Ovis aries: one gene and its partners. The protein of the gene in region 6 interacts with the protein of the main gene of each other region in a pairwise test. Links are inferred from orthologs where the notes say so. Each region holds a gene or a part of one and is shown on either strand. Other genes may lie near its edges.

Region 1 (4,219 bases), on a different chromosome or scaffold from region 6:
AGGCAGTCATTCAGGGAATAGATGGGTATATTATAAGTTTTAAGAAGACGGTATTTCTTTAGAATCAGTATGCAAGAATTCGTGAATAGTTTATGAATAGTCTATTGTATTTTTCATAAAAGTTGACAATTGATTTTTCTCAAGAATTTATTTACTAGGGTATAAAGGGGAACAAAACAGCTGCTCAGTCCCATGTGCCCCCTTCATATTTCAGATGAATGCACTGGACACCCTTGGTCAGACCGCTTTGCATAGAGCTGCCCTTGCTGGTCATCTGCAGACATGCCGCCTGCTGCTGAGTTACGGCTCAGATCCCTCCATCATCTCCTTACAAGGCTTTACAGCAGCACAGATGGGGAACGAGGCCGTGCAGCAGATTCTGAGTGGTAAGTTCACACAGACAACCTTGCTTTCTGTTCTTCCTTTTCCAGTCTGTCCACTGATATGCAGACTTTGTGCCCCTTGTTTTAAGGGGCTCTATGGAATGTTTTCTTGGCCTGAAAATTTTTCCTGCCTTTCTTTACTTACAATTTAGCCTGTGGCCCTGCCCATCAACATTCTCCTTTTTGTAATTCTTAAACTTCAAACATTCCAAATTTTTCTCTTGTACTAAGAACCATTTAATAGGGAATTTTAGGTTAGTTTCTCCAAGTTATAACTATAAATCAGGGAAACATATAGCTATTTCATCAGAATTTCTCATAATATTATATGTAGGTTTTAGAGGTAATTGATAAAATGGGGAGGAAAGGATTGAATAAATTAAGCAGATTGCTCCAGCAATGCTTTTAAAATGTCTTCTAAATGAATACAATTAAAATATATGGCTGCTAGTAAAAGATAAAATTAAATAGTGAATCACAAATGAAAATTTTTTTATTATTTTGATAATTCTTCTTAAAAATTGATTAGTAAGATAAAACATTATATGGGTCATTAAATGCCTATTTTAGTATGTGCCAGAACTTTTTAGTGTAAGTCTTCATACTTCTTATTGATCAGGAAGGATAATACAAATAATAGAATTTGGTGGTAAAATCTTGCCCTTATAAGGTTTTGTTTTTTTTTAATGAGAATTCTTCTTTTTATTTAGATGACAGTATAAAATTTTAAACTAATATTTCTGCAAAAAATTTGTATGTCTATAGACCATATACAGGCTGAACTTTTCAGTTGTACCTGTATTTACTAATCCAATTCCAGGTTATGTCTATAATGACTCCTGAAAGAATACATCAATTATATAGAATGTATAGTAAATTATTGGGGTTCTGTTCTGGGCAATATTTTAAAGGTTTGTTTAACAACCCCTATTAATACCAGGTTTGAGTTCCACTTTTAGAGACCCTCACTTTCATCTCACAAGCCTGTAGTTACCAACAGTATACAGTAGTAAAGTTTTAATGGTACACTCTGACAGCATTTACGTGAACATCTCTCTTTCCATTTACCAAATAATTTTCCCTCCTTTGCTACTCTGTTTCCTTAAAAACCAGCAGTAATCCTCCCTTATCTTTTATGCAGAAAGTACACCTATACGCACTTCTGATGTTGACTATCGACTCTTAGAAGCATCTAAAGCCGGAGACTTGGAAACTGTGAAGGTATGTCAATGCTTTAATGTCTTGGGTAGCTCTTTGAAACCTTTGCTTCCCAATTCATTTTAAGCTTGTAAGTGAAACAACTCAAATCCAAACAATAAGAGGGATGAGCAGAGTGGACTCATAAGGAGAGATCTTTATTAAGAATTTCCTAGTATGTGCCTTTCATTAAATCATTTTTTAGTCACTTTACTTCTGGTTATGTGAATGCTCTTTTTATTTCTTTCCACTTTTTAAAATTAAAGTGTTATTTTGGACCACACTCATAAATTTGCAAGCTAGTGCAAGCCCAGGTAATAGTACAGTAAAGTTTGAAACAGTGTTCTTGACCTTTTCTAAGAGATTCTCACCTTTGCACTAGGAAATCATCCTTATGATCCTGCAGTTGGGAAGTATTTTTTGATTCTACAATTTATGCATTAATGTAGCTACAGAATCACTTGTCATGAAAAGATACAATCTGACCAAATGATGATGGCTCTTTAGGTTATAGAGTCTCTCCCTTATGCCCAGACTTCCTTCTGTTGTGTAAAAAAAAAACTGTACTACCTGAAAAGTCCTGTGTTCACCCTACCAGCCCCTTCTCAGTATATCTATAGGTGACTTCCAGGTTCTGAGTTTTTGTTATAACAGCCTACTACAGTGGCAGGAGCAGCAACCAGACTTGTCAAATACCTGGAAAGCCCTTGACATCAGACCATGTAGCCTAGAAAATGTCACTTTTTCTCTGCTTTTTTTTTTTTTTTACCTTTTTTAGCTTTCTTTTCATTATCTCTCTTCACATCACTTCCCTAAATTTAGAATAATCAAATAAGTAAGCAGTGACTAAATAATTAAATAAGTAAGCAATGGCAGAAAGATGGCAAGATTAAAAATCAGGAAAATGAAATTTGAGTTTTTATTCTACCCCTTACCACTCTAGGACATAGGATGTCACTTAACCTCTCTGAGCCTTGGTTTTTTTATCTGTAAAATGGAGATGATGGTTAACTTCTCAAGTAGATAATAATTCTCTCACTGGAAAAAAAAAATGAAATTCTTTATAAATTATTACTCAGATATTTGTATTGTCATCCATCTGTCACCACCAATGATGCAGCCTCTCCAGCCTGACTTTGCTTCCACTGCTTTGTAAGCAGACAGAATTGAGCTTGTGCTGAGATGATAATGTTCAAAAGGAAAATGAACAGGTGACAAAGAGGCGATTTGGAGGACACAGCTGAAGGAAATAGAAGGCCAACAACTAGTATGATCAGAATCAGTTTGACCTGTAGACCTAAACAAATATCCCCTTGAAGATCAGGTAAAATATTGTTGATTGCTTGGCTCTGCTCTGATGGATCGAAGGGCCAAAGAGGTGGCCCAGACAGAATGAATGTAATTTTTCCAGAGCCGCCTTGTTGCCATGTCAAAGCAGGCAGAAATTTTGGGTAGTTCTACAGTCAGCCAGGTTTAATCTTACTTGAGCAAAGGGTGGTTAAGAGCGTGCTGGTACAAGCAGACAGGCTCTCACGGGGAGGAAAGCCTTCTAACAATGAAAGGAAGGCACCATTTGCCTTGGCAATGCTTGCTTTATTATGTTTTCTTCTTTTTGATTAGGATTTTGGCCAGGAAATATTGAAAAAGGTGAAATTGCTGTGCAAACATAAGAATATTTGTAGACACTGTAAAGCAGAACATCTTGCTGATTTTAAAACATCACTTGTATTATCTAATCAAAGAAATAGTCATTAGAAAATTACAACTTATCCAAGATGCCTGCAGTATTTTGGTGCAAGATCCTTAAATAAATACTAATGTTCTGTTTGTGTTTGTGTGTGTGTGTGTGTGTGTGTCAATAAAGCAACTTTGCAGCCCTCAGAATGTGAATTGCAGAGATTTAGAGGGCCGGCATTCCACGCCCTTACACTTCGCGGCAGGCTACAACCGTGTGTCTGTTGTGGAGTACCTCCTCCACCATGGTGCCGATGTCCATGCCAAAGACAAAGGGTATGTGTTAGAATGTCACTGTGTGGAATTCATTTCCTTGATACTTTAAAAAAAAATTTTTTTTTTTCATGATAGATTTTTTTCCCCTTGTTAAAAAAGTAATTTTTTTTTTAAAAGCTTAAAGCATAATGCTTAAAACTTTGTTGTTTTATAGTAGCTAAGTCATGTCCAACTCTTTACAACCCCATGGACTGTAGGCTTCTCTGTCCATGCGATTTCCCAGGCAGAAATACTGGAGTGGGTTGCAGTTTCCTTCTCTAATGCATCTTCTCCAGCCCATGCATCAAACCCATATCTCCTAAAGTATCAGGCAGATATATTTTTACTACTGAGCCACCTGGGAATCCCCCCAAATTAAAACTTTATGAAAATGTATAGAAAGTGAAAAGTCCCTCTCATTCCACCTCCTAGAGATTACAACATCAAAATTTTGTTGTAATTGTGAGGAGTTTTGAAGCACATGTGTACCAGTGTGTGTGCTGTTGTGATGGGGCTTGTTTTTAACATAAATGAAGATGTCATCCCGCAGTCTGCTTTACAGTTTGCCTTTTTTATAATAGTATATCTTGAATGTCTTTCTGTATCAGTACTAAGCAGTTCATTTCATCCTTTTAATGCCTATATATACT
Region 2 (4,219 bases), on a different chromosome or scaffold from region 6:
AGTAGTTGAGACTCTGTGCTCCCAACACAGGGCACAGTTTCCATCCCTGGTCAGGGAAGATCCTGCATGCTGCATGGCGTGGCCAAAAAATAATAAGTAAAGTGAACTGATAATTGTCTCTGCCCTGCATATCACAGATAAAATCTATATGTGTGTGTGCACATATAAATACATCAAGCATGGAAAAATGCACTGAGAAATAGGAATTGCTATTTTATTTGTGAAATCAAGTTATTGGTAGTTTTGCTTCCATCTGAAAAGTCTGTATTATCTACAAATTGCTTCTCAATGAGAATTTGATGTCTGCTAATTTTTACTGACTCTTGTTTTATTTATATTACTTTCAGAGCTTAAGATGTGGGACCACAGGAGTGGTGACTTTTATCAGAGGCAACATGTTACATGTGGCCTGGGTGGGTGATTCCCAGGTTATGCTTGTGAGGAAGGGCCAAGCTGTTGAACTAATGAAGCCACACAAACCAGACAGAGAGGTAGGTATGCTCTGTTCTGTTAGGGCACACGCCATAGGCAGTTTTCTAGTTATTACTTTTCAGTTATTATTATAATTATCACCATTATCTCAGCAACCAAGCCCACCTTTCAAAGGAAGAGTAAAGAGAACCCTTTCCGGGAAGCCGATGAATATTATATCTGTTGTTTACTGTTAAGGTAGCTGAATAAATCTTGAATCCAATTATTTGCTTCTTTCTGTTGCATTGCTGTGCAGGATGAAAAGCAGCGGATTGAGGCCCTTGGAGGTTGTGTAGTCTGGTTTGGTGCCTGGAGGGTGAATGGAAGTCTGTCTGTCTCCAGAGCTATTGGTAGGAAAAACCAATTAATTATTTTTTCTCCAAACTGTCCTCTTCCAGAACACTGTTCTTCATGTTAATGTGATACAACAAGGGAACCTGAGATAATAACTTAGATTTTCAGAGTGCTTGTTATTGTCTAATGCCTCTTTTAATTAATTATTTAACCTACACATTTATATAAATTCCATTTTTAAAAGGGAACTATATTAAGAGATATAGAACTTACTAGTTTCTTTTTTTTAAAGGGAAGCCTTTAATCTCTGGAATACAAATCTGCTTAAAGCCCAGTGATCCTCATTTTCCATTCCATTTGGGTCAAATTTAGCTTAAATCAGTATTTTCCAGAAAATGGAAGTCCCTATATTTTATCTTGCTTATATCTTTCATTTTCTCATTGAATTCTAAAATGACACAAACAACATGCTTTTTGGGTGAAAATAATTTTTACTATATTAAAATTAGGAAACTAATTCTACTCTGTGTGGAGTGGAGTTGTTAGATTACCCTGGGATTTCAGAAAATCTACTTCCCTGGAACCTAAATTCTTTAAAAGAAGGGTAAAGTCGATGAAACTCTTTGTTGAAGATTCAGAGTAAAAAGCTGAGCTGGTTGGACAGAATGTGAGGGTGTGCCTCAAAGAGCGGGCTACGGCCGTTTCTTTCTCACTTTTGCACCTGGGTCTGTTGCGTTGGATTTCATGGCTTAGCTTCACTTTGTTTTTTTTGTTCTTTTTTTTTTTTTAAAGACCAGATGAATGTGTGTGTCTCTATGGGTAATATGCGTGTATTCAGTTCTGTCACTGCCTCCTAAAGAAATGAAGTGCTTTGACATAGGATAACATGGATAAATGGAGTTGATGTCTGATCCCCAGATTTTGCTTATCATTACCAAAAAATTCCAGAACATTAATAAAATCTCAAAGGACTGATTCCATTTCACCATTGATGTGATTTCCCTCCCACTCTTTGGGAAGGTGCTGGCAAGCTGTGAAGTGGCCCAAATGTGAGCAGCAGAAGGCGGAAAGAAAGAGGAAGCTCAAAGATTCTGCAAATACCTCTTGAAAAATTGAGAGTAGGCTTCACCTTAGACCAAGGGAGTCATTAAGAAATCTGGAATAAGGCCAAAAGGGGGAAATTTATGATTCTTAAAACACACCTTCATATAGGATTATTTTTGACAACTCCAGAGACCTCTTCTCTTGATCTTACTGTCTTTGTCAGAGTATTGCAAGATATCTTTAATGCTTGTTATAGAAGCAACTTTACTAGAGAATTCTTGTCATTTCTTGCTTCTAAAAATATGACATAAGGGGAAAAAGCAATGTCCTTGAATAAATGCCAGTTGAAGAGGAAACAGGGCTGACTGCAGAGAGGAAGTGACTTCTGAGGTGGATGGGAGGACAGAACCTAGAGAAGGCCCCCGGGAGGGAGGCGTGCAAACACATGGGCGTCTCCGAGGGTGCGTCCTGTTTCAGGAACAGGGACAGGTGCAGGAGGCTGGGGCGGGGGATGGGGTGAGGAGAGGCAGTGTTGGCGCCAGGGTGCGGAGGGGCTTGAATGCCAGCCTCAGGGTCTGGGCTTCACTGGGTGAGTGAGCCGAGGGCCCACGTGGTCAGGTTTGTGTTTATAAATATTTAATGATTACAGAAGATGAATTAGAGAGAAAAATCTAGATGAGAGATCATTCAGAGATGTGGACAGCTAAAAAAACAGGAATACAGAAGAGTATAAATTGATGAGACAGAAGTGACAGCTTTTGGGGCGAAAGAGGAAACTTCTAGGTTTCTGACTTGTGTCACTAAGAAGATGATAAAACATTTGTAATAAAGCAGCAGCAGTTGAGGGGCAGGGAGGAGGGAAGATAATGAGTTCATTTTGGACATATTTGCATTCTGGGTGCCTGTGGGACGTCTCAGAAGAGGTAATTTATATGCAGTTGGAAATACAGATCTGGAGCTTAGCAGAGTTGTGAGTTAGAGATTTGAGAATTCATCCCATTTTGGAAATAACATTAACAACCTGTGAAGTGACTTTATATATATCTATCTATGTATGTATGTATATACAGTAGTTGAAACCACAGAATGGATGACACTGCCCAGGAATATAGCGTGAAGAGAGACCAAGGCTGAGACTCATTGCTTATGGTAGAAGACCGTGAAGCCATACTCTCTGGGTTTGTGTCTTGGCCCTGCCACTTGACCAGCTGTGGGCCTAGGTGATTTACTGAACTTCTCATACCTGTTTGTTCCCTTGTAAAGCAGGACTAGTAATAGTACCTAACTATTGTTTTTGTATTAGATAGTATAATACACACACATACACTTAAACCCTGCCTGGCACAGACTTAGCATACAGTGATGTGGGGTGCTATTATTTTCTTGGGGGTGTTGCTATTAAATGAAGGAGCCAGTAAAGAAAAACAGGAAGAGACACAGACGCAGGGTATCAGATGCTGGGGAGGGGGTTTTCTAGGCGTATGGAGTCAACAGGGTCAAATGCTACAGAGGTCAAGTGAGTTAAAAATTCCCAGAATTTTGAAAACAGAAAATGGTTGTAGATAGAGGTAAATTGCTAGAGATTGTTTTTTAAGTTAGGAGGAGGAATTGAGGGAATTCAGGCCCGGTAAACTTAATTTTCTTTGACGTAGGAAATTATGCCATCTACCAAAATCCAATAACTGAATTGGAAAGAGTCAGAGAATGTAAGATTTGGAAAGCTCATGGAGTAAATCAGGGGGCTAAATAAAGAAAAGAAAAAGGACTCCTAAGCAGAGTTCAACTCTACTCAGAAAATAAATGACATTAATACTTTAAAAATGAAACACATTTCAACTGTTTCTCCCCCTGAGCCCTTTGGATTGATGATCCAGAGTTGACATGATACAGTTTCTGGCATATGGAGAGAGGGGGTAGAAGACCAAAGGATGGTGCCATTTCTACTGTGAAATGGGTGATCATGCCCTCCTACCAAATTTGGGCGAAATGTCATGAATTTGACATCTAACAGTAGAGCAGGTGAAAAGCCAGAACTCTGGCAGCATTTTCTCTTGTGCAAATCTTTGTATGTTCTGTTCCAAACTAACAGTTGCAGTAGCCTTTTAATTGAAGCACTAAAACAAGGTTTTTGGGAACAGTATGACTCAGATCACATTTATTTTTAGAGCTGGAGTTCAGAAAATAATGGTAATAACACAGTCAGGTGGAGTAGGGGACGGGGACGTCTAGTCAGGTGGGTTGGTGGAGGACGCTGACTCCCCATGATTGGAAGCTGTGACAGCCTACTGGAAGACTACACAGTATCGAACTAAAACTGGCAAGATCAAAACCATACCTGAGGAAGACGGGTCTTGCTACTGTATGAAAAAGACTAGGTTCTTGTCTTGCAGATAAACTAACCCAAGTAATT
Region 3 (4,219 bases), on a different chromosome or scaffold from region 6:
TTAATGACATTTTTGGAGGAATGGGTAAACATAACTTTAAAAATGCCAAACAGTACGGAAACTACTATAACAAACCCTCATGTACTTATCATTCACACTTGACTCAGACTTTCCCCTCATCTGAACTCACTTTACATTCTCACATTGCCAAAAGTAGCCACATTCATGAACTTAGCGTATATCCTTCCAGTTCATGAAATTATATTTTAATTATGTTGAGTGTTTATTGTTTTAAGAAATTTTGCAGCAAATTCTTTTGTAGAATAAAAGAAGCTGTTTGCAAAGGAAATGGTCACCTCTTTCTAAACTTTAGGCTTAAATTTTCATAATTTCAGGGTCTATAGAGTATTAGCATTTTGTTGTTAGGATATAGCTTATTAACAAAACTGGAATATTTCTAACCTTACTCCCTGGAATGGCTTTAGGGTATGTAATTTTTAAATTTTTAAAATGCTTTTAAAATTTTTATTTTTTCTTCCAGTTTTATTGAGATATAATTGACATATGACATTATAAGTTTTAAAGTGACACAGTAATTTGACTTTTCATATATCATGAAATGATAAGTTTAGTGAATGTAATCTCATATAGATATAAAATTAAAGAATCAAAATAATATTTTTCCCTTGTGATGAGAACTCTTAGGATTTACTCTCAACAGCTTTAATGTATAACATGCAGCAGTGTTCATTATATTTATCATGTTGTACATAACATCCCCAGTACTTACTGATTTTACTACTGGAGGTTTGTACCTTTTTACTACCTTCATCCACCCTCTGGGTCACACTTGATTTGTAAAACCTTGTTAGAGCATTCAGAAAATTTTGGTTTTGGATAGCCTAACAATGAGAATTTTTAATCAGATACAGTTTCATAGAAGAAAAGTCATATAGTTATTTGTTTCTTTCTTTGATATTGGTAAACCCATTTAAGGATGTAGTTATAAAAATGCTGGTTCTGTTCAATGATAAAATAAAAATATTCTTGTGTCTTTTTTGTATTAAATTCCATTATTTTCTTGCTATATAATGTTTTAAGTATAATTCATCTGAAGGGTCTGAATTGCTAAATCATTTTAAAAATTTAAGATTAAGGCATAGTCCTGTGGTAAATTTATATTCCAGTCTACCTGACAAGTTTAATTCTTAATGCTGAGGAAAATAACATTTTCAGTAGGAATTTTCTGTTCTTGGTATAACAAAACCTAAGGTGTAAAACAATAATCCTATACATTTTATTTAAAAATAAAACAAAACTCAAAAACTGTATTATTAAACCTCATGAGGAAGTAGACGGGGGGATTTTTCCATATTTCAGTAGGAGTTTTGATCAACCGTTCTTGTTAGTATCTACTGGTTGATTAAGGTCAAGGAAAACCTTAAACTTAGAGGTGATTTTAGATATAATGAAAGGACCTGATGATAATTTTAAATTATTATTTTTTATGTAACTATATAACATATGAAAATGCTGAGTAAATCATTACGTGTCTGACTGTTTTGTCTTATATAAGAAGCTAGTTGTTTTTTCCTTTTTTTAAAACTAAAGCCAAAGGAGAATATTACGTGATACTTTTGTCTCTTGCCAAAGCATGTAGTTTTGTGTTACTGGGTAGTCTCACAGGATAAGGATATACATTAATACATTTGTTTTACTATATTTTGAAACCTCTAGTTTACGGAGAACTATGGAAGACAGGAATGTTTGAACGCATGTCTCTGCAGACAGATGAAGATGAACACAGTATTGAAATGCATTTGCCTTATACAGCTAAAGCCATGGAAAGGTATACTAATTAATATAAGAAATCCCAGAGAAATCATGGATATTAATTTCTTTGGAATTATTTTAACTAGGGTAAGATGATCACTAGGATAAAGAGACTTAAAAATTCTTGTTACAGTGGAATAAAGAATTTGAGATTAGATTTTTCTGAATGTGGATTGAAGTTGGTTTTGAGTAGTTTGGCTATGAAGGTTAAATGTATGAAGTGGCATGGTTGTTTCATTAGGTAGAAATATTAACAAGAAAACCCATGTGTCTGTGTGTTTGTATGTTATTGGTTTGCCTGTTATCTTATTCATTATATATTTATTTATCTCAGAATAACAATTATATTCTTTCATGGTATAGTGCTCCAAGTAAGTAATCATAAAATTTTAGATTTGGGAGTAACTTTGGAGGTAATTTATTTCAGCCCTTATCAAAGTATGTGAATCTCTATTATAAAAGCAATTATTATGTAGTAATATACAATAAGTGAGATAATCTATATATAACATAGATCTCTTATAAAAGAGATCTCTGTTATAAAAAATGCTGACTTGGTACCTGCTAAGAGGTCTTTGAGGATAGCATGCTCACTAGACTATAAGTAGAGTGAAGACAGGGACATTTTGTTTTCCACTTTTACCCCAGTGCCTAGCACAGTGCCTGTCACATAGTAGTCATTATTTTGGTAAAATGAAAGAATTGTTTTAAGACCTTTCTTTCTTCTTTAGGGCAATATTCAAATTAGAACATTTTTCTTTTGAAGGTCACGTTTCTGTAATTTTTTCAACCATTTCCTTTATATGGACTTAACATTCCATATGTTTTTAGTTTGATTAGTTCTAAATAGGGTGAGATTATTCCTTCTCTGGTCCTCATTACTGTATTCTCTTAGGAAAATAAGTGGTATGTCTTAGGTTTACAGTAAATATTTGTTAATTAAATGTGTTAATGAAGTATGAGATTAACAATTTTTATGCTGATATGGCTTACTTACTATTGTCTGATATATTTGTGGTCAGCTGAAACCCCAAGGGTTTTTTATACTGTTAAACTAGATTATTTTCTCCTTTTGTGCTTCAGTGGTTGATTTCTTTTTAACCCTAAAAGTGAATGTCTCTTCAATTAATTTTGTTTAATTTTTTCATGTTGGTTTTATTCTATTATTGCAGTTTTGGGAGTTATTTCCAGTCTTAATTCTGTTATCAAAGTATTATTTATTTCTCTCAGTCTTACGTTGTCCACATCTTTTCACAAAAATAACTATAAGGGATTACATAGCTGAAGAAGTTTGCAAAAATAGAGTGATATTAAATTGTAAGCAGTATAATTTTAGGTTGTGAAAGTTGCTCAGTCGTGTCCGATTCTTTGCGACCCCATAGAATTCTCCAGGAATTCTCCAGGCCAGAACACTGAAGTGGGTAGCCTTTCTCTTCTCCAAGGGATCTTCCCAACCCAGGGATCGAACCCAGGTCTCTCGCATTGCAGGCAGATTCTTTACCAGCTGAGCCACAAGGGAAGCCCAAGAATACTGGAGTAGGTAGCCTTTTCCTTCTCCAGCGGATCTTCCTGACCCAGGAATGGAACCAGGATCTCCTGCGTTGCAGGTGGATTCTTTACCAATTTTAGGTTATTTGTGTTTTAATACATTCTAATTCTTCAGAAAATTTTAAAGCAGTATAGCCTGTTTACTTTTTGAAATGCTAGTGTCATCAGAGCATCCCATTCTTCAACTGCAACAGGACAGTAAAAAACTTTTGTTCCTGGCTAAAATGTTATTTCAAAAGTAAAACAGGTGGAAATGTAGGAAAATAGAAATTTGAAACCAGTGAACAAAATTTATGTTTTTAATTTCCTCCCTATTAAAAAACATTGAATTACCACTTTTAAGTATATCACTTCTCAGGAAAACCTTCCTTATCTCTCAGATTATGTTGCTGCTGCTGCTAAGTCGCTTCAGTCGTGTCTGACTCTGTGCAACCCCATAGACAGCAGCCCACCAGGCTCCCTGGTCCCTGGGATTCTCCAGGCAAGAACAGTGGAGAGGGTTGCCATTTCCTTCTCCAGTGCATGGAAGTGAAAAGTGAAAGTGAAGTCGCTCAGACGTGTCCGACTCTTAGGGACCTCATGGACTGCAGCCTACCAGGCTCCTTCGTCCGTGTGATTTTCCAGGCAAGAGTACTGGAGTGGGGTGCTGTTAGGATCCCTAATACTGACTCTTTCAAAAGCATCTAGTACTTTTCCTTTGTAACCTTTGCTGCAAGCACTGCTTATGTCACCTAGCTTACCATTACCTGTATCAGTTTCCTTTACTGAATAACAAATTGCCTCAAAACTTATGACTTAAAATCATAACTGTTTTTATTGCTCACAATTTTGGGGTCAGGAGTTTGAGTAGGGAACACCTTGCTCTGGTCCACAAGACACTGACTGAGATGACTGGAGT
Region 4 (4,751 bases), on a different chromosome or scaffold from region 6:
TCTAATTGAGCTAGTCACCTCAGCAATCTGAACCACATTTCTCTTCAAATACAAAGTTGAGCTAAATACTCTCCAGAGGTTTCTAGAGTCAGAGGACTCCATAGTTTTGATTTCTTTGACTTTAATTTATTTGTCCATTGATAACCTACACCTACTAGGGTCTACCAGATCAGACCTTTAACCCATCACCCTCAGCACACATTTCAGCCTACCAGTGGTATTGCAACATCCTCATAAGGCAGCTTATCTTCTCGCCAAGCATCGTCAATCAAATCCAAGATCCTTCCATCTCTCTGTACCTCACTGTCCATTCTCTTGCAGCTTTGATCTTGTCGGATGGGACCTGTAAACCAAAGAGGTTATTTCTTAAACATGAAGAATGAAAAGATGATGTAATCCAGCCACTAGGGTTCTCTAGGCTTTCTAGTGTGGGTTTTGGCATTGGATCATCCAGGGAGACTCATCTCACCTGGATTAGATTACAGTTTCTTTATAACATCACAGTACCTCCCAGCTGATCTTCCTAGTCACACACAGATTCCATTTTTTGGTAAAGTTTTCTCGGATCACTCAGCGTCAGCATGCATTCTGCCCTTGAATGGTTCCTTGTTTTTATGATTCACTAGGCAAGTTAAGTTGGCTTTATGACTGATGGTTCAAGCATTATTGTTTTCAATTGCTGTGCGTAAATTTTTTATTAATGATTCAGCATGTTTTCCCTCAATTTGGCCTCAAATAGTTTTTCACCTATTCTTCTTTAGAATATATCTAACTTGTCACACTTTCCAGCCTTTGCACCTAAAAAGGTCTCTCTGCCCCATCACGAACACCTATTTTTCCTTCCAAACTCAAAGTTGAGTGTCAGCTCATCGGGGCTAACATCTCATTTCCAGAGTTAGGCGCTAAGGTGCCGTCACTCTTCAGGGGCTGGAAGCGTGGAAAGTACAAGGCGGGCAATGACCAGGTCACAGCCAGCGTCCCAGGCACTTGCCAGTCCCCATAATTAACTGTTACCACTTTCCTGAACAAAATCTTACACACGTGACTGTCCCAAAGCTTGGAATGCTCTGTCTTCTTCCTTTTTTCCTCAGCTAACCCCCAGTCACTCTAAACAACTTAGCTCCCAGGTTGCCTCCTGCAGGAAGCTTTCTCTAAGCTCCAAGAAGAACGCGATATCCGCCCCTCCGCAGGTTCCATATTTCCCGGGGCGCAGTGAATGGGCCCCATCAGGGGCTTGTTACATTGCCCGTTACAGGGTCTTCCCAGACAAGCGGTGCGTGCGTTTCTTCGGGACAGGGGCAGTTTTATTCACCTCTGTTTTAGAGATCGGTAAACTTGCAGTTAAAAGAGCAAACCTGGAATGCCCTTTCCCCCCCGCTAAATATGACCCTCTCGGGCCACCACCGTCCGTACAGGCGTGGGATCCCGCCCCATAACCTCGGCTTCCGGCCCAAGGCGGGCTCTACCAAATGCGGAAGCGGGGGAAGTCCAGGGCCTTCGTGTAAGTCCTTTTCTACCCTCCCGACGAGCGGTAAGGGAGGTAGTTATCAGGGTGAGGTGAGGGCAACGACCTCTGCCGATAGGATCGGCCGAAACCCGAACATGCGCTTCTCCTACACTACCTAAGCTAGGGCGCGGGAAACCTTTACCAGCACTGGCCCAGCACAGCCAGAACCACGCCCCCAGCGGTCATGTGGCCGAGGCGCCCTGCTCTCCGATCCCCGGAAGTCGGTGAGCCCATTTGGCGGGGCGGAGGGGGGGGGGGGTCAAGGAGGACGTTGCTTCAATTAAAAGTCAGGGAGCAGTAGGCGGAACGAATGTTCCGAAGACCGTGACTGGACGTCAGGTTGGCGGTGACGCGCGTGCGCGCCCCCGTCCGGAGGTAACGGCGGGAAGATTCGGGGGCGCGCTCGTGGCAGGCCTGTAACCGCATGTGTGAAAGTCCAACAGGCGACGGGTGCCGGTGTCCGGAGCCGGAGGCCGCCCTGGCTGCAGTGGGGCCGCAGACTGAGCGGCCGAATGGCCGGGGGCCGACTTCCTCAGCCGCCCGCTGGCCTCCAGGCTCGCCTCCGCCGGCCCGGCTCCGCCCCGGCGCCCCGCCCCTCCTCGCCGCAAACGCTTCGCAGACCCGCGAAGCAAGATATGGCCTCCCACGGCGCGCAGTCCGGGCTAGCCAGGTGGTCAGCCCTTCCCCTGAGGCCGGCCGGCGGGAGGGCGGCGGGGTGGGCGAGCTGCTCCGCTTCTCCCAGCGGAGTCGGCAGCGAGTCAGGCTGCCACTTCTGGGGAGGTACCCCCGGCCCAGCCCTCCCGCCTGGGCTGCCTCATTTGGCTAGCATCCTTCCTAGCCTTGTTGAGGCTTAGGTTGCTGACGGCAGGTGATAGTGGTTCATTTATGGGTGGGAAATTTAGCAAGTTTTTAAAAATAATTGACTTAAAAACCATAATGTTAGTTCCAGAGGTATGGTAATGTGGCAGAAATCATGAAGGACAGAATTTGGGGAACCCTGAACTTATTGCTCCATAGAAATCAGGGATGCGAAATAAAGTGAGAGAAAAAAAGGGATGGGCCCATAAAGCACTATAATCATGAACATATTTGGAAGCAGTAAACCTAGGCTCATAATGTAGTTTTTACAACATCAGAGAGTAAAAGTGAGCTTGCTGTCAGCGACTCGTGTTCATTTACAGCGTCTAGTTAAAGCATGCGTATTGCGCAGAGTAGTTTTCCTTAAGGCTTACAAACGGTTCCTTAAACCAGTGTTAACATTTTTTTCCTTCCTTTAATAAAACAGTACTGTAGGATTTGTGCCCTGTAGTTTTACAGTTCCCCACATGCTTGCATTTAACTATTTTCTAGATACGAAGAGGAAACCATAAGGATCATTAACTACATGTTACCTTCAAATTTTTCTATACTGATCATAGCTGTAGCTTAATGATATAATAAAGGGTATGTATTTTCTTATTTGAAATGTAGTATTATTAGCTTTTTATCGAGCTTCTTGCCTTTTGACTATATCATCAGTGATCAGTATAGTAAGAACAACTGAAATTAAAACGGGCTAGATATTGATAAACATTATAGATTCAGGTTTTAACAGTTATTGTAGTTGTTGTATGTATTAATTGTATTGATGCCACTTGTCTCCCGTTAAAAGGTAGAACAACTTTGGCCCTTCCCGTTCTCAGTTAAGGTAGTAGTGGTATTGGACGGTAATAGCATCACTAGTCAACTTTATTAGAGCTTCCTCCTTTTAGGAAGCTTGTTTGAAATTCAGCTAAAACCGACACTGACCTGGGTTTCAGGAATTGAATTTTTGGTTTCTGTGTTACTTTAAATATTTTTCTTTAAGAACTCAGATTGTGTTTTCAGCTTTACAAAACCAGTTTTGTCATCACATCTATGAAAATTAGTAAAAATCCTATAGACTGATGCTGGGAAAGATTGAGGGCAGGAAGAGAAAGGGGCAGTGGAAGAGGATGAGATGGTTGGATGGCATCACTGACTCATTGGACATAAGTTTGAGCAAACTCCAGGAGATAGTGAAGGATAGGGAAACCTAGCGTGCTGTAGTCCATGGGGTTGGAAAGAGTTGGATATGACTTAGCGACTGAACAACATTGTCAGTATTCAGTCTGGGTTCAGATTTTCCCACCTGTCCCATACATGTGTTTTTATTTTTATTTTTTATCATACATGTGTTTTTAAAATCAGCTTGTTTGGATTAAAATCCCATAGAGATCTATGTGTTGCTAAGATTTTTTTGGTTGGTTTTGATGAAGATCATTTTAAAAGTCTTTTATTTATTACAATATTGCTTCTGTTTTATATTTTGGTTTTTTGGCCACTTGGTATGTGGGAGTTTAGCTCTCTGACCAGGGGTGGAACCAGCGACCCACTGCACTAGAAGGCAGAGTCTTAACCACTGGACCTCCAGGGAAGTCCCTCAGTCTTATTTAATGTTACAATTTTGTTACCTCCCCTTTTTCCCTTAACATTCTAGATTTAGTTCACTGCATCCAGATGCCATCTTTTAACTTGTACACCTGTTCCCTTTATTTCCTTTAAAGGGAATAAACTGGTAGTGAGATCTAGATTTGCACAGCCCATATAGTAGGTGTCAGCCACCTGTGGCTATTTAAATGAATTAAAATTAAATAAAACTAAAAACTTCAGTTTTCTAGTTGCATTGGCCACATTTCAAGTGTCTGATAGTCACATATGCCAAATAGCTACTCTTCAAATGCTGCATATATAAAGTGTCTTCATAATTGCATATAATTCTGTTGAACAGCACTGATCTAGAAGCTTGATCAGATTCAACCTTGACTTTTTTGGGGGAGGAAGCAGAGGAAGATTTCATTGTTGGTGCAAAATACTTAAGTGAGGCATGTTATTTCTGAGTTTCTCTCTTTCTTAATGTTAAGATTGAGCAGTGTGGGTTCAGGTATTGTCAGCCCAATCCATTCATCATGAAATTATCCATGAACCATTCACTTAATGGTGAGATCCTTTCATGGATTTAAATTGCTTATATCCATTGCATTAGGGGCTGCAATATAGTGATTTTCTGATTCCATCATTCCTTAGTATTTATTAGCTGGAAATTTTTTATGAAGAACTTTTTAACTCACCAGCTGTTTGATAACCCCACCAGCTATTTGAAATACAGTTTGTATAGGAAAGGCAAGAAAAATGCTTAATTCTTTCCCTCTATTTTCAGAGCACAGTAATGAGTTGGTGGCCTAGC
Region 5 (4,219 bases), on a different chromosome or scaffold from region 6:
TAGTGGTTTTGACAGGGCTCTTTACATTTCATAATAGTAACACTGTTATATGGTGAAACCAATTTTGTATTCTAGCCTGTGTCTTCAAAACTCAGGTCCTTGCTGCTTTGATTTCACCAGTAGAAATAACTTCATATTGAAAGCACTCTCAAATGGACTGTAAATCGATTTTCTAAATGTTGCATTGAAATGGGCTGTGAAATCTCACGGTCAGTTACTAGTCCCTGAAGAAAACCCTGTCAACAGCTTGTCTGCAGTATTTTCACTGAACTCGACCAGGTGAGCCCTGGTCTTAGGATGCAGAAGGAGACCTGTTTAGTGCTCATTTCATTTTCCCCACACGACAGTGACTAGTTATTGCCATGCTACCTGAAGTAGTACCCCCGTCTCTTGTTAACACAGGACACTTGTGCAGTAAATGTAACGCTGTGCTGGGTGGAATTCTCCTTTCAGGAAGAAGAGTCACTGAAGACACAACTGGCCTACTTTACTGACAGCAAGCACACCGGGAGGCAGCTAAAAGACACATTCGCCGATTCCCTCCGATACGTAAACAAAATTCTAAACAGCAAGTTTGGATTCACATCTCGGAAAGTCCCTGCACACATGCCTCACATGATCGACCGAATCGTGATGCAGGAACTGCAAGACATGTAAGTCTCGCTTATGTCTGAATTTTCTGCTTGTGCTCAGAGCCAGAGCAGCTTGAAGTTCACATCCTCGCCATGTTGCGTCTATGGCTCTGACACGTGATGACTAGTGTGTTGAAAGTATTATCTCAGCAGGAGGGAAGGAAGATTCTGATGCCACAAGTGTCGGGTACCATACATATCGTAAGTATCCAGATCTCACAGTGTGTTACATTTGGACAGGTTCCCTGAAGAATTTGACAAGACGTCATTTCACAAAGTGCGCCACTCCGAGGACATGCAGTTTGCCTTCTCTTATTTTTATTATCTCATGAGTGCAGTTCAGCCGCTGAACATATCTCAAGTTTTTGATGAAGTTGACACAGACCAATCTGGTATCCTGTCTGACAGAGAAATCCGCACGCTGGCCACCAGAATTCACGACTTGCCTTTAAGTTTGCAGGTATTGTAATTTTATCCCCCCACCCCCAAACCCCCAAATTTTGTGACATTTTAAATGAAACTTTTAAGTTTGATACTTTCTCTTTGCCCTGCATACTTCAGTGTAATGCAAGTACAAGTAAACGAGGGTGTTCACAACTAGTCCCTTTTTAATGCCAGGATTAAAATCAGTTTTGAAGTTTGTGTTTCATAGGATGACTTTTTTTTAAGACTTTTGTTAGGGATTGCTATGGTATTGTGTGGAGAAGAGGCAGACCATAACTGCATAGAAGATTCTCGTGATAGGTTCATTCAGGGGCTTCAGATGTGGCTGAGTGGAGCCCTCAGCCAGACCCGTGGTGCCGCAGAATCCCCTCTGCCTTGGCATCCTCTGGTCCCAGGAGTGGGACCCTCAGGAATAATGGGCACCAAGAGGATTCCAGCTGTAGCACACCCATCTGGTGATCCCCTGGCTCACCTGGTATCGGTGGGGCCTCCCGGTCCTGTACGTTCCACTTTGAGGCAAAGATGAGTTGTTTGTATTGTCTCAGTCTGCTCTGTTTAGAATCTCACAGTCAAACTCTGAAGGTAGCACTTACACTTCGGTGACTTTAACATATTTTTAAAACCACAAGCATTACTTGTATGTAGAAGGTTTATCCTTTTATTTTTGCTTTGTTAGGATTTAACAGGTCTGGAACACATGTTAATAAATTGTTCGAAAATGCTTCCTGCTAATATCACTCAGCTAAACAACATCCCGCCAACTCAGGAAGCGTACTATGATCCGAATCTGGTGAGTGATGTGGGTTCATTTATGTAAAACAGAGAGTCCATCCTTATTGGGTGTTACTATCATTTCTGTACAGCACTTCAAAAACTAGACACTTGCTCTATGTTTATAGGTCTCTGGTAGAAATCAGTAGCACCACCAATAATCTAGAATAATTTATATTTTTCTTTGGAATATCTTTTTTTCCTCCCTAATGGATGTTAAGCTAATATTGAGATTAGTTGCTTATATTCTATAAATAGACAACCTTTTACTAAGGATGGCAGAAGGTAACCCTGGAGTATACTCATTACTCAGGAGAGCAATCCTGTTAAACATTAACCAAGGAAATAGTCAGGCTTCCCTGATAGCTCAATTGGTAAAGAATCTGCCTGCAATGCAGGAGACCCCGGTTTGATTCCTAGGTCAGGAGGATCCCCTGGAGAAGAAAAAAGCTACCTACTCCAGTATTCTGGCCTACTCATCAAATTGAACCCCATCTTCCCTCAAAGCTAAGTTGCTTTGATGATGGAACTTTCTGGATCTTACCAGTAGGGGCAGTAGATGATCTGCACACAAATGTATTAGAGTGCCACTTGGCTGAAATGGTTGGAAGACTTTTTTGATTGTAAGATGCATCCCAGTTTCAAAGAAATGAAACTATTAAAAAAAAAATGTGCATTTAGAATTGATGGAACAAGGATATGATACAGCCATTTATGTGGTGCTCACAGTTAATTTTACTCATACATACATATATATATATATAGACACACACACACATGGAAAAAAATGTTTACAAAATAGGTGGTGGGTTAAATCGTAGGTAGTTTTCTTTTAAAATCATATAGTCTTTTGTATCTGGCTTTTTTTTTTTACTGGTAGTTCTTAATATGTTTTTTCACACTGCTACTGCTGCTGCTAAGTCACTTCAGTCATGTCCGGACTCTATGTGACCCAATAGATGGCAGCCCCCCAGGCTCCCCCGTCCCTAGGATTCTCCAGGCAAGAACACTGGAGTGAGTTGCCATTTCCTTCTCCAGTGCATGAAAGTGAAAAGTAAAAGTGAAGTCTCTCAGTCATGTCTGACTCTTTGCAACCCAATGGACCGCACCCCACCAGGCTCCTCCATCCATGGGATTTTCCAGGCAAGAGTACTGGAGTGGGGTGCCATTGTATTTTCATATTTTCTGTAATGAATAGATAACTTTCATAATCAAAATGTTTTTTCAAACCTAAGTAAGTAAAGTCACTCAGTCGTGTCTGACTTTTTGTGACCCCGTGGACTGCAGCCCACCAGGCTCCTCAGTCCATGGGATTCTCCAGGCAAGAATACTGGAGTGGGTTGCCATTTCCTTCTCCAGGGGATCTTCCCGACCCAGGGATCAAACCCGGGTCTCCCACATTGGAGGCAGATGCTTTAACCTCTGAGCCACCAGGGAAACCTAAGTAATTATTATTTAATTTAAAAAATTTTATTTGGCCACATAGCATGCAGGATCTTAGTTCCCCAACCAGGCATTGAACCTGTGTCCCCTGTGTTGGGAGCATGAGAATCTTAACCACCGGACCACCAGGGAAGTCCAAAATAACATGTGTTTTTAAAAATTGACCACCTTGCGAATGTTCAAGCCCTATAATTATCTGGAGACAAGATGTGTGTAAATGAATGTAGAGAAGAGTAATGTAATCACTCTTCTAATCAGTTACAAGTAACTCTAGTAATCAGTTACAAGTCTGATTTCTGAAAGAAGGCAGTCACTCGTTTAGCACTCACTGCACACAGCAGGGATGGTGTTTCTCACTCGTGTTCTCAGGGCCCGGGAAAGCCCACCCACGAGGAGACATGTGAGGGGCACCTTGACAGCTGCTGGAATATGCAGACAAGCTATACGTATTGCTGGTTATGTGTTGGTCAGTCCAGCATATGAGACGGGTTGGTGTATAGATATGTGTCACCGAAAGCCAGCTCTAAATATTCTAAATATTCTAAACTGTGAAATCAGTGAAACTGAGATAAGGTGTAAGACCTGGTGTTAGCCTAAGGGAGTTTGCTGTAGTGGGGTAAACAGGCAAGAATCAGCAGCCAGAGTCTGAGACTAGCTCTGGTTGTGGGCCCTCGGGAGGCCTGGCTGATAACAGATCAGCAGCTTGTCTCGTGAGGCGCAGCAGCTTCTCTGGTATGTTAGGCCCACACAGTGAAAAGTGCTCTATAAAACCCAGACTGTTACACATGTTAGTAGTTCTCTACAAGTGTGTTCTTAAAGATTAAAAAGGCACATTTGTAATCATTGTAGGTGTTTTCCCTGCCTCCTGAGAGAACAGAATCACAGTTAAAAAAAAGAAATTAGATTGTGTAGACTAAAAGACATTCCTT
Region 6 (4,219 bases):
AGGTTCTTTAGTTCTTCTTCACTTTCTGCCATAAGGATGGTCAGAACCCCATGAATAGGGGCAATTTACATATGATTAATTTTTAAAACCTGGACAAGAGGATCCAAAGGCATGTTTTGGATCTATAATTTTTATTCCCTGCGCTCACCAAGGAAGTATGGTTTCCAAAAGCTTTTGTCAGTTGTTATATGAAAAATGATATTTTATGTTGTTTGAATTTGCTTTTAAAACCATTTTTGATGATAAACCGTCATAATTCTCTTTTTTTGAGTTTCTGATGGATGTACTCATCTTTTTCTTCTTCTGTTGCTGGCACTCTTGACATTAGCAATATTTCCTTTTCCCCAACTTGTTGTTTGCCTTTTAACTGTGGTCAGCGGTGCTTTCACAGACACTGTTTCCTTGGATTGTTGGCATAGTTTTGCTTAGGGTAGACTTTTCCCCATCCTGCTGCATTCGGTTAGGAGTTGATTTGTCATCCTTTGAGGAGAAACACCTGCAAGCCTTCCGCAAGGCCAGCTTACCCGCATAAGGTGGCGGCCTGAGCCACATCCTCACCAGTGTTGCTTCAACCAAATATGCCAGCTCCTGTGAGCGTAGGAGAAAGAGCCAAACAGATTTTAAGTGGTTTTTTGATAGTCTTCTAGCACACTTTTTCCGAGAAGTTCTGACCCAAACATCTTCAAATCAGCCATCCCTCTCTGTCATGTCCACAGCCAAGATCTGCCCCGGAATTTGGCTCTGGATGGGTCCAGGCAGGGCTGTCCAATGATGTATAATGCAGACCACATGCATGATTTTAAATAATATGGTAGCGACAGTAAGATTTTTTATTTAGTTTTGGCTGTGCTGGGTCTTTGTTGCTGGACTTTCTAGATGCAGTGAGCAGAGGCTACTCTCTACTTGCCGTGCAGGGGCTTCTCATTGCCTGACTTCTCTGGTTGCAAAGCATGGGCTCTGGGTGTGTGGGCTTCAGTAGCTGCAGCACGTGGGCTCAGTACTGGTGGCTCACAGGCTCTAGAGGGCGGGCTTAGTTGCCCCTTGGCATGTGGGATCTTCCTGGAGCAGGGATCGAACCCATGTCCCCTGAACTGGCAGGCAGATTCTTAGCCACTTTAGCTCCAGGGAAGTCCCTACTCTCCATATTTTTTAAATGTAAGAAAAAAAAATAAGTGAAATTAATTTAAGAAATACATTTCATTAACCCAGTGTATCAAAAATGTTGTCATCCCAACATGTAATGAATGTGAAAATATCATTAATGAGATATTTGGCATTCTTTGTTTTCATACTGTTTACAATCTGATGTGTATTTTACGCTTTCAGTACAGATAGCTACACGCATAGTTATGGAGCCGGACGGTGCCCAGTCCAATAAAGCAAGGTGACTCTAGGCAACTGCTAAAGCCCCAACAGATTATCATTCAAACAAACACATACACTAGGGACCTCTTCCCCATGACCCTTCTAAGGACGAGGGCAGCTGGGAGCCACTTTGTGAGTCTTCTTTGCATTAACATACATGTAGATCTGAAGATTTCAGGTCACTCATATCTGTGCCTATATATGTGTGTGTGTGTGTGTGTTTTAAGAGCTGGCAGTGACGACCCCCAGGCCCGGCTGAGAATGGATCCAAAGACGTTGGAAGCCGCTGCTCAGGACAGTTTGCGAGTGTCCATCACCAGGCGAGACTGGCTTCTCCGAGAAAAGCAGCAGCTACAGGTGAGCAGGTGAAGACTCTTTATGAAGCAAGACAGCATTTTTCTAACACATGTGAGCCAAATGCAGCAAAGTGGGTCTTTGCTTGAATGCAGTCCTTAGAGAGTTGGCAGTGCACCCAGGAGCCATGAGGCAGAGCGAGGGGTGGAGACGGCTGGAGGGCTTGTTGGAGTCTCTTTACAAACAAGGGGTTGGAAGTTCAGCAGTGTTTGTGCTTGTTTTTGCTAGTACTTTACCTTTTGAATATGCTTTCCTTGTGTGCCAGGCCAATTTGTCACCTCTTATCATTTTGTCCTTGAGAAGTTTCTTTCGGAAGGCAGGGAAAAAAAAAATCTGAGCTGAGGCAATCCTTTATGGAAACTGCTATCAGATTGGACTGTGGATAGCGACTGTCAGGAGGCAGAGCCGTGAGTGGGGACTGGGCAAGGTGGGTGGAACTGGGAAAGACTGGGAATGACTGGGCTTCGTGGGAGCTCTGGGTTGTCCCGGAGCAGTGGATGCAAGTTGGCTGAGAATCATGGGGGGCTGGAAATCTTGGTGCAACTCTGAGTTATAGCCAGGAGGTGACCAGCGCCTCTGGAAGTTGACGGGCCCCCCAGAAGCAAGGAGCCTTGAAGTTCTGTCCACGCCTTCCAAAGCGTAGAGGACTTGAAGCCTGACTGGGGAACAGTGAAGGAACACGGACTTCTGGAAAATGCAGAGCTCTTCAACACGCGCGTCCACAGTGTGGCTTAGCCTCTAAGGCCGAGTGACCTTAGACAAGAGAATGGGTCTTGGAGAGGTTACTGGAAACCCCCACTCCATGCAGAGTCTTCTTGTTATGAGTTCACCCTTCCAATTCCATATGATAGCAAGGCAGCAAAGGGAGGCAAACATCATTGCAATTTGAAAAAAGTGAAGTGAAATCGCTCAGTCGTGTCCGACTCTTTGCGACCCTATGGACTGTAGCCCTGTAGCCCCCCAGGCTCCTCTGTCCATGGGATTTTCCAGGCAAAAATATTGGAGTGGGTTTCCATTTTCTTCTTCAGGGGATCTTCCTGACCCAGGGATTGAACTCAGGTCTGCCACATTGCAGGCAGATTCTTTACCCTCTGAGCCACGAGGTTTGAAAATGTTGTTTTTTAATGGCTAAGTCATGTCTGACTCTGCAACTCCATGGACTACATGTAGCCCACCAGATACCTCTGTCCGTGGAATTTTCCAGGCAAGAATACTGGTGGCCATTTCCTTCTCCAGTCTGAAAATATTTTCCAGTAAACTGGTGCTTTCACGCTCTTGAGCTCACCACGTTGAGCACACTTGTTGAGCAAGTTCAGGTAGCTGAAAATGTGAAGTCTGATTTTTGATTCTGAATAATATTCACCAGCTAGAGGTGAATATTCCTGATGATGTCAGAGTGCACAGAACATACTTTTAGCCCAGGCTACCTAGTGTTTGAGGGCTTCGTGGTAAAGAACCTGTTTGCCAATGCAGGAGACATAAGAGATGTGGGTTTGATCCCTGGGTTGGGAAGATCCCCTGGAGGAGGGCATGGCAACCCACTCCAGTATTCCTGCCTGGAGAATCCCATCAGAGGAGCCTAGCAGATTACGGTCCAGAGGGTTGTGAAGTTGGATATGACTGGAGTGACTTAGCGCACATGCATATACTGAGTGTTTGAAGGAAGCATTCTTGGCACAGTGCTGGGGGAGAAGAGGAGAAAATCAGTGATGGGGGCGTGGGGCCTGGCAGGCCTTTGTGAAGTCTTGGGGTTTTTTCTGACTGGAATGCGAGCCATGGAGTGGGGTTGGTTAACCAGTGAAGTGATGTAATTGACCACATTTCAAAAAGGCATTTTGACTTCTGTGTGAGAATAGGGTGGAGGGCCACTGTGGAAAACAGTATGGTGGTTCTTTAAAAAATTAAAAGTCGAGTTACCATGTGATTCAGCAGTTTCACTTCTGGGTATAAGACTGCAAAGAATTGAAAGCAGAGACTCAAAGATGTGTTCACAGAAGCATTATTCACAATAGTCAAAAGGTGGAAGCAACAACCCAAGTGCCTATCAACAGATGAATGGATAAGCAAAGTGCACATTGCTCAGTCCTGTCTGACTCTTTGCAACCCCATGGACTGTGGCCTGCCAGGCTCCTCTGTCAATGGAATTCTCCAGATCAGAATACTCGAGTGAGTAGCCTATCCCTTCTCCAGGGGATCTTCTCGACCCAGGAATTGAACCAGGGTCTCCTGCGTTGCAGGCAGATTCTTTACCAGCTTAGCTACCGGGGATGCCTGGGTAAACAAAATGTGGTATATAAATACAATGAAGCATTTAAATTCAGCCTTTAAAAGGAAGAAAATTCCGACACACACTACAGCATGGATGGACCCTGAGGACATTATTCTAAGTGAAATGAGCCAGCCATGAAAGGACAAATACTGTATGATTCCACGTAGACACCCGGAGGAGTCAGAGTCACAGAGAAATAAAGTAGAAAGATGGCTTCCAAGGCTGAATGCA
Region 7 (4,873 bases), on a different chromosome or scaffold from region 6:
GTAGGAAATTTAATTCGTGTGGAGGCACTTTATTCAGATGCAAAGCACATCTGGTGCCAGGTCCAAACGCCCCGCCTCTGCTTCTCTCATCCCCTGCACAGGTATGTTCCTCTGTCCTTCCTTCTCATCCTATCATGGTGGGCTTATCTTCCAGCTGGGATTGGTTGTCCTCTAAGTTTAACTCCATTCACCTTTCCCTGGCAATTGTGGAGGAGGGTTGGGTATCCGCATTTAGTCCTTCCAAGGGCAAGGGCTGACAATGGGACCGAATCTTTGGTTGCTCAGCCGGGCACGACGCTCCTGTGGTTAACAGTTTCCCAGTCTAAACCCGCCCTGATCACTGAGCATGCCCAGAGCTCCTTCTCGAGCTGCCAAAGGATGGGCATCATTTCTGCAGGGTTTTGCCACTGTGGAGAGAGGGGCGGGGCTGTAATCAACCCTGGGTAGGGACTGAGACGTGGAAAAGACACGGGGAATAGCAGTAAGCAATGAACGGTCCTGGGAGGCCGTGTTACTGGCCTGATGTACTGGCGTTACATCAAAATGCCCCCTGGATGCCCACTAATCCCATGGCTGAGGCTGATCTACCCGTGCATACACACCACGTCCCCATACACCTTTCCGCTGCTTGGCCTCACACAATTCAAGGCAACCATCACAGCCGCGCCCCACATGCTGATCCTGCACTGGACGCGCGCGCACTAGCGCCCAGGCACGCGGCTTCTGGCAGCCTAGGAAACCCCGCGGCTCTGGCGCAGTGCGCTACAGGGGCTGTGGAATGAGGCGGGGCGCCAGTAGGGCTGGAGATTTGGCGGGGTGGGCTTCCATGTGTATCTTTCCCCCTTTGGCGGGAGGGAGGGGCGGAAGATATCAAATGAAGACCTTCTGCCGGACCCCTCTTGGCGCAGTGGCGCAGCGACGGTACACGTCGCCCTCGGCCAATACCGCGCACCCGCATCCCCTCTCACTATACCCTTAAGTTGCCGCGCTGGGCTGTACCTGCCAACTCCTCGCCTTGCTACACTTGCACAGACTGTAGATCTATTTCCTGTCTCTACACCCACCCACTTCGTATTTGCTACGCCCTCTGTATCTCTCCCTGCCACGATGCGCCCCACCACCACCACTGTGGGAGCAGTAAGTGAGAATCACGTTTCAATTTCTGCTCCCAGTGTTCCACCACGGCCGGTGGTTAGACCGAAGCTCTAGTGTCCTCGCGCCTCTCACGGTCCCCTCTCTTCCGCGCGGCCTGCGCCATCTCTTCTCCAACCCCAGTGCCGCCCCTCCTCTCCCCCGCCCCTCCACCATGGGTGTCCTGGCGCCCGCCAGCGTGTGCCACTTTCCCCACCCATCAGCTCACACCCGGGGCAGGGGGAGGGAGCCCTCCCCACGGTGGGCACTCGTCGTGGGCCCACCTCCGCAATGCGGTGAGGAAGAGGCGCCTGGGCCGGGCAGGTCCGGGAGAGGGGCGCGGGGACCAGGGACTGCGCCCTACGATCTTTGTCCCCGCGTGCCCTGCCGGGTACTCACCGTGGCGCCCAGAGCGGTCAGCGGGCCCTCCGCTGCGCATCCATTAGCCGGTGGTCTGGCAGCTTCACTTCCGGAGCGAGGCCCTCCCTGGCCTCCCCGGCTCCTCGCTCCCCTCCCCGGCGCGCCGCGCCCCGCCTCCGCCCCGCCCGCGCCTCGCTCCTCCCGCAGCTGCCGGGAACTGGCAGCCTCTCCGCTCTCGCTGCCGCAGCGGCCACCCGCCCAGACCCAACTTTGCTGCTCGCGGGAGCTGGCGGGGGGCGTGGGCAGGGAGGGAAGAAAGCGGGGTCAGGGGGAGGGACCGTGAGGGGTGGGTCGCTCGCTCGCCAGCCCTCCTTCCTTTTTGTACACCTTGCGGTAGGCAGAGAGCGGCAGCCGCGGCTGCAGCCGGGGCAAGGGGTTTGTGCCTAGAGACAGGCAGACGTAGGGACTGGCAGACGGACGGACGAACGGCAAGGACCCTCCCCGAGCCCCCACACCATGGCTGAGAGGAAGCAATCCGGGAAGGCGGCAGAGGACGAAGAGGTCCCTGCCTTTTTTAAAAACCTGGGCTCAGGCAGCCCCAAGCCTCGGCAGAAATTCTGTGGCATGTTCTGCCCGGTGGAGGGGTCCTCGGAGAACAAGACCATCGACTTCGACTCGTTGACGGTGGGCCGGGGCTCGGGGCAGGTGGTGGCCCAGCAGCGGGACGTCGCACACTTGGGCCCCGACCCGCAGACGCCCTACTCCCGGCAGGGCCGGCGCGCCGGCGGGGAGCCATCTGTTGAATCGAGCAGGAAGGTGGAGATTCGGCGGGCCTCGGGCAAGGAAGCTCTGCAGAACATCAACGACCAGGTTGGTATGGGTGGTGGTCGGGGGAGCGGTGTTGGAGACCGAGAATAGGGCGTGGGGATCGCCCCTCCCTCGCCCCCTTCCAGCTCGGCGGAGAACCGAGGATCCCAGCGTAACCCACAGTCCTGCCCCGCCTCGAATATCGCTTCTTGCAGGTGCACACACACCCCACCCTGCCCGACCCCTCTCTGTGCTCGGGCTCGGTGGTGGGCGGCCGTGCGTCCACAAAGGCTGCCCGCGCCTCCCTGGGCCTGGGAGGTGGAGGATGGGGGGTAAAGGATGGGCCTATCCCCTACTGGGGAGGGGGTAGCATAGTTGGAGGGGGAGGGGACGGGCCGGGTTTCCATTCTTCTTCAATCCTCCCGGGTGGCTTCCGATTGCAGCCGTGGCTGGATGCCCCACCCTTTTTGATGCAGCTCCGAGCATGCAGTGGAGGGTTCGCGCGGAGGCCAGCGGGCTCCCCCGGGGTCGGGAAGGGCGGGGGCCTCGACGGCCGCTCCCCGCCGCGCCCTGCGCACTCTCCCAGCGCCTCTCCTGGGCGCCCTCGGCGCTCAAGTCCCGAGCTTGAGGTCAGGACCATGGCCAGCGCCTCCCCGGACCGCAGGGGAGACTATCTCATCACCCTGACTCCTGTTCGCAGCGAGAGAAGAACCCAGGAGGCAGTGGAGTCACGCGAGGAGACAGCGACTCTCCTAAATAGCCCATGTGGAGAACAGAGTTCTGCTAAGTATCTGAGCAAGGGCGTCTCAGAGCGCTCCCCCCACACCCCGCCACTATTTGGGAGGGCTTTGGGGATGAGGACTAAGTGGATTATAGTCAAAGGGTAAAAGAAAAGAGAAAAGCCCTCACATTTTGAATAGATTGTCATCGATGAATTAGACGCTCCCCACCCCATACTGTGTTAAATGAGGAAACAAAGAAGACCAATTTGGTAAACCGAATTTCAGAAAATGTCATCTCTGGGAAATAAGTACAGTGTGCATTTTGTCTTTGCATACCACATGTGCTTTCCTTTATCAGGGTGACCTTCATACTTGTACAATTTTTTTCTCTCAGCCTTAATGTCTCAAGTGATAAATTATAGTGTGAAAGGTTTCAACTCTTGTTTGCTGTTTGTCTCCCATGCCCATTGGTGAAGATGAGAAATTGGTCAACAATCGATTATTTATTAACAACCTATTGTGTGTGGGTAGGGTGGAGATTAGCTGTAAAAAGTTCAAGGTGAGTTCTTCTTAAAGATCTTCTAGAGTCGTTGGGAGTGCTCCAGACAAATCCACTGAGTGATAAGCATTTATCTGGCACTCAGGTTGTAGGCTGACAGTGAACTCATCAGAGAACAACTAAGGGTTGATGGCAGTAGTCTGAACATGTTCCTGTTTCCTGATATGGCATAGAGTTTTGCAGCTTTTGACTTATACAGGACCAGTTCTAGGAGAGAGAAACCTCTCGCTGTCACTTTTTAATGACAATTAGTTACTTAACTGATTCTTCCTTGCCCAGCTCGGTTCTCTGATTTATGATTTTATGGTGGGGGATCTTTGCCACCCCTATATCACTATGGGTCAGTCGGAAGAACTTAATCCAAGAACTCGTGTTATTCCAGGGGATCAGACAATCGAAGTACATGTTTCTAATAATGCGACTTACACTGAAAGCTGAGGAATGTGAAATACACTGAGTGAGGACTAGACCTTGATTATATGGCATCATGGTTGTGTAATCACCTCATCTTCAACTAGTTGTGATGGAGATTCTTGTGTCCTAAAGGGAGCAGAAAAAATGCCTTGAGATAAGGAAGAGATCATTTAAAAATGGCAGATCAGAGGGCAAAGGTTGAAAGTGGCCATCTTGATAAATATGGCAGTGAATTAAAACTCAAGTTTGAAAGGCAAAGTTTCTCTGGGTTGAATAACACATCTCTTTTCCTGCCCATTTAGAAGCTTGGGTGTTTGATGAACACTCTCTGAATTTCATAGAAATTCTAAATTGTAAACCTAGGGCACATGGAGGGGGAGATTTGAAGAGGAGATTCTTAACCAATACCCCAGGCAGTTTTAGCCTCTGCAAACCACATTTGCTGTAGGTATTCAGTTACTAGTAACAGGGTTATTCTGATTTGATCTTTTAGCAGCCTTCCTTGAATTTTCATTTTCGATGTTGCCGTATCACGTAACGGCCGTTCCTGTGGGAATTTTTTCATTCATGACTAAGAGCATTTACCAGGATCAGTGTTTGACTATTTCTTATCTATACAAGAGAGAAAAAGGGATTGGGACACACACACACACACACACACACACACACACACATGCACACACACACACTCACATATAGCAGTAATGCTTATTTCCAAAAGTATGGTTGGACCCACCACTTTGATGGAATTAAGTAGCCATTACTCAGTTTTCAGATAATGAGCAGGGTAACTGCCAGCATCCCAGGGCATTCTTATCTCATGCCCTGGAACAGAGAGAGGTAGCAGAGAACTAGAATGAGTGGATCCTGGGGCTCCTCT

The links.
Region 1: the proteins of DISC1 (region 6) and TNKS interact in binary tests that used the Homo sapiens proteins (3 or more experiments, as listed by UniProt). The link is inferred for Ovis aries from reciprocal best matches to the Homo sapiens genes DISC1 and TNKS.
Region 2: the proteins of DISC1 (region 6) and PPM1E interact in a two-hybrid assay, tested with the Homo sapiens proteins (2 studies listed by BioGRID and IntAct). The link is inferred for Ovis aries from reciprocal best matches to the Homo sapiens genes DISC1 and PPM1E.
Region 3: the proteins of DISC1 (region 6) and MEMO1 interact in a two-hybrid assay, tested with the Homo sapiens proteins (2 studies listed by BioGRID and IntAct). The link is inferred for Ovis aries from reciprocal best matches to the Homo sapiens genes DISC1 and MEMO1.
Region 4: the proteins of DISC1 (region 6) and CEP63 interact in binary tests that used the Homo sapiens proteins (3 or more experiments, as listed by UniProt). The link is inferred for Ovis aries from reciprocal best matches to the Homo sapiens genes DISC1 and CEP63.
Region 5: the proteins of DISC1 (region 6) and GNPTAB interact in a two-hybrid assay, tested with the Homo sapiens proteins (2 studies listed by BioGRID and IntAct). The link is inferred for Ovis aries from reciprocal best matches to the Homo sapiens genes DISC1 and GNPTAB.
Region 7: the proteins of DISC1 (region 6) and DPYSL2 interact in a two-hybrid assay, tested with the Homo sapiens proteins (2 studies listed by BioGRID and IntAct). The link is inferred for Ovis aries from reciprocal best matches to the Homo sapiens genes DISC1 and DPYSL2.

Annotation. Positions count from the first base shown.
Region 1 is NC_056079.1:24,768,485-24,772,703, forward strand, and holds part of TNKS (poly [ADP-ribose] polymerase tankyrase-1), read left to right. Parts: intron 1-214; coding exon 215-386; intron 387-1,524; coding exon 1,525-1,604; intron 1,605-3,444; coding exon 3,445-3,590; intron 3,591-4,219.
Region 2 is NC_056064.1:9,632,596-9,636,814, forward strand, and holds part of PPM1E (protein phosphatase 1E), read left to right. Parts: intron 1-347; coding exon 348-491; intron 492-727; coding exon 728-821; intron 822-4,219. UniProt on the Homo sapiens protein: Protein phosphatase that inactivates multifunctional CaM kinases such as CAMK4 and CAMK2. Dephosphorylates and inactivates PAK. May play a role in the inhibition of actin fiber stress breakdown and in morphological changes driven by TNK2/CDC42.
Region 3 is NC_056056.1:91,907,261-91,911,479, forward strand, and holds part of MEMO1 (protein MEMO1), read left to right. Parts: intron 1-1,677; coding exon 1,678-1,789; intron 1,790-4,219. UniProt on the Homo sapiens protein: May control cell migration by relaying extracellular chemotactic signals to the microtubule cytoskeleton. Mediator of ERBB2 signaling.
Region 4 is NC_056054.1:255,494,231-255,498,981, reverse strand, and holds the start of CEP63 (centrosomal protein of 63 kDa), read left to right. Parts: upstream 1-1,815; 5' UTR 1,816-1,931; coding exon 1,932-2,177; intron 2,178-2,857; exon of another isoform or gene 2,858-2,950; intron 2,951-4,724; coding exon 4,725-4,751. Other genes in the region: ANAPC13 (anaphase-promoting complex subunit 13), read right to left, coding at 213-311. UniProt on the Homo sapiens protein: Required for normal spindle assembly.
Region 5 is NC_056056.1:171,146,692-171,150,910, reverse strand, and holds part of GNPTAB (N-acetylglucosamine-1-phosphotransferase subunits alpha/beta), read left to right. Parts: intron 1-453; coding exon 454-653; intron 654-872; coding exon 873-1,092; intron 1,093-1,752; coding exon 1,753-1,866; intron 1,867-4,219. UniProt on the Homo sapiens protein: Catalyzes the formation of mannose 6-phosphate (M6P) markers on high mannose type oligosaccharides in the Golgi apparatus.
Region 6 is NC_056078.1:3,971,854-3,976,072, forward strand, and holds part of DISC1 (disrupted in schizophrenia 1 protein), read left to right. Parts: intron 1-1,592; coding exon 1,593-1,722; intron 1,723-4,219. UniProt on the Homo sapiens protein: Involved in the regulation of multiple aspects of embryonic and adult neurogenesis. Required for neural progenitor proliferation in the ventrical/subventrical zone during embryonic brain development and in the adult dentate gyrus of the hippocampus.
Region 7 is NC_056055.1:39,168,215-39,173,087, reverse strand, and holds the start of DPYSL2 (dihydropyrimidinase-related protein 2), read left to right. Parts: upstream 1-1,711; 5' UTR 1,712-2,007; coding exon 2,008-2,361; intron 2,362-4,873.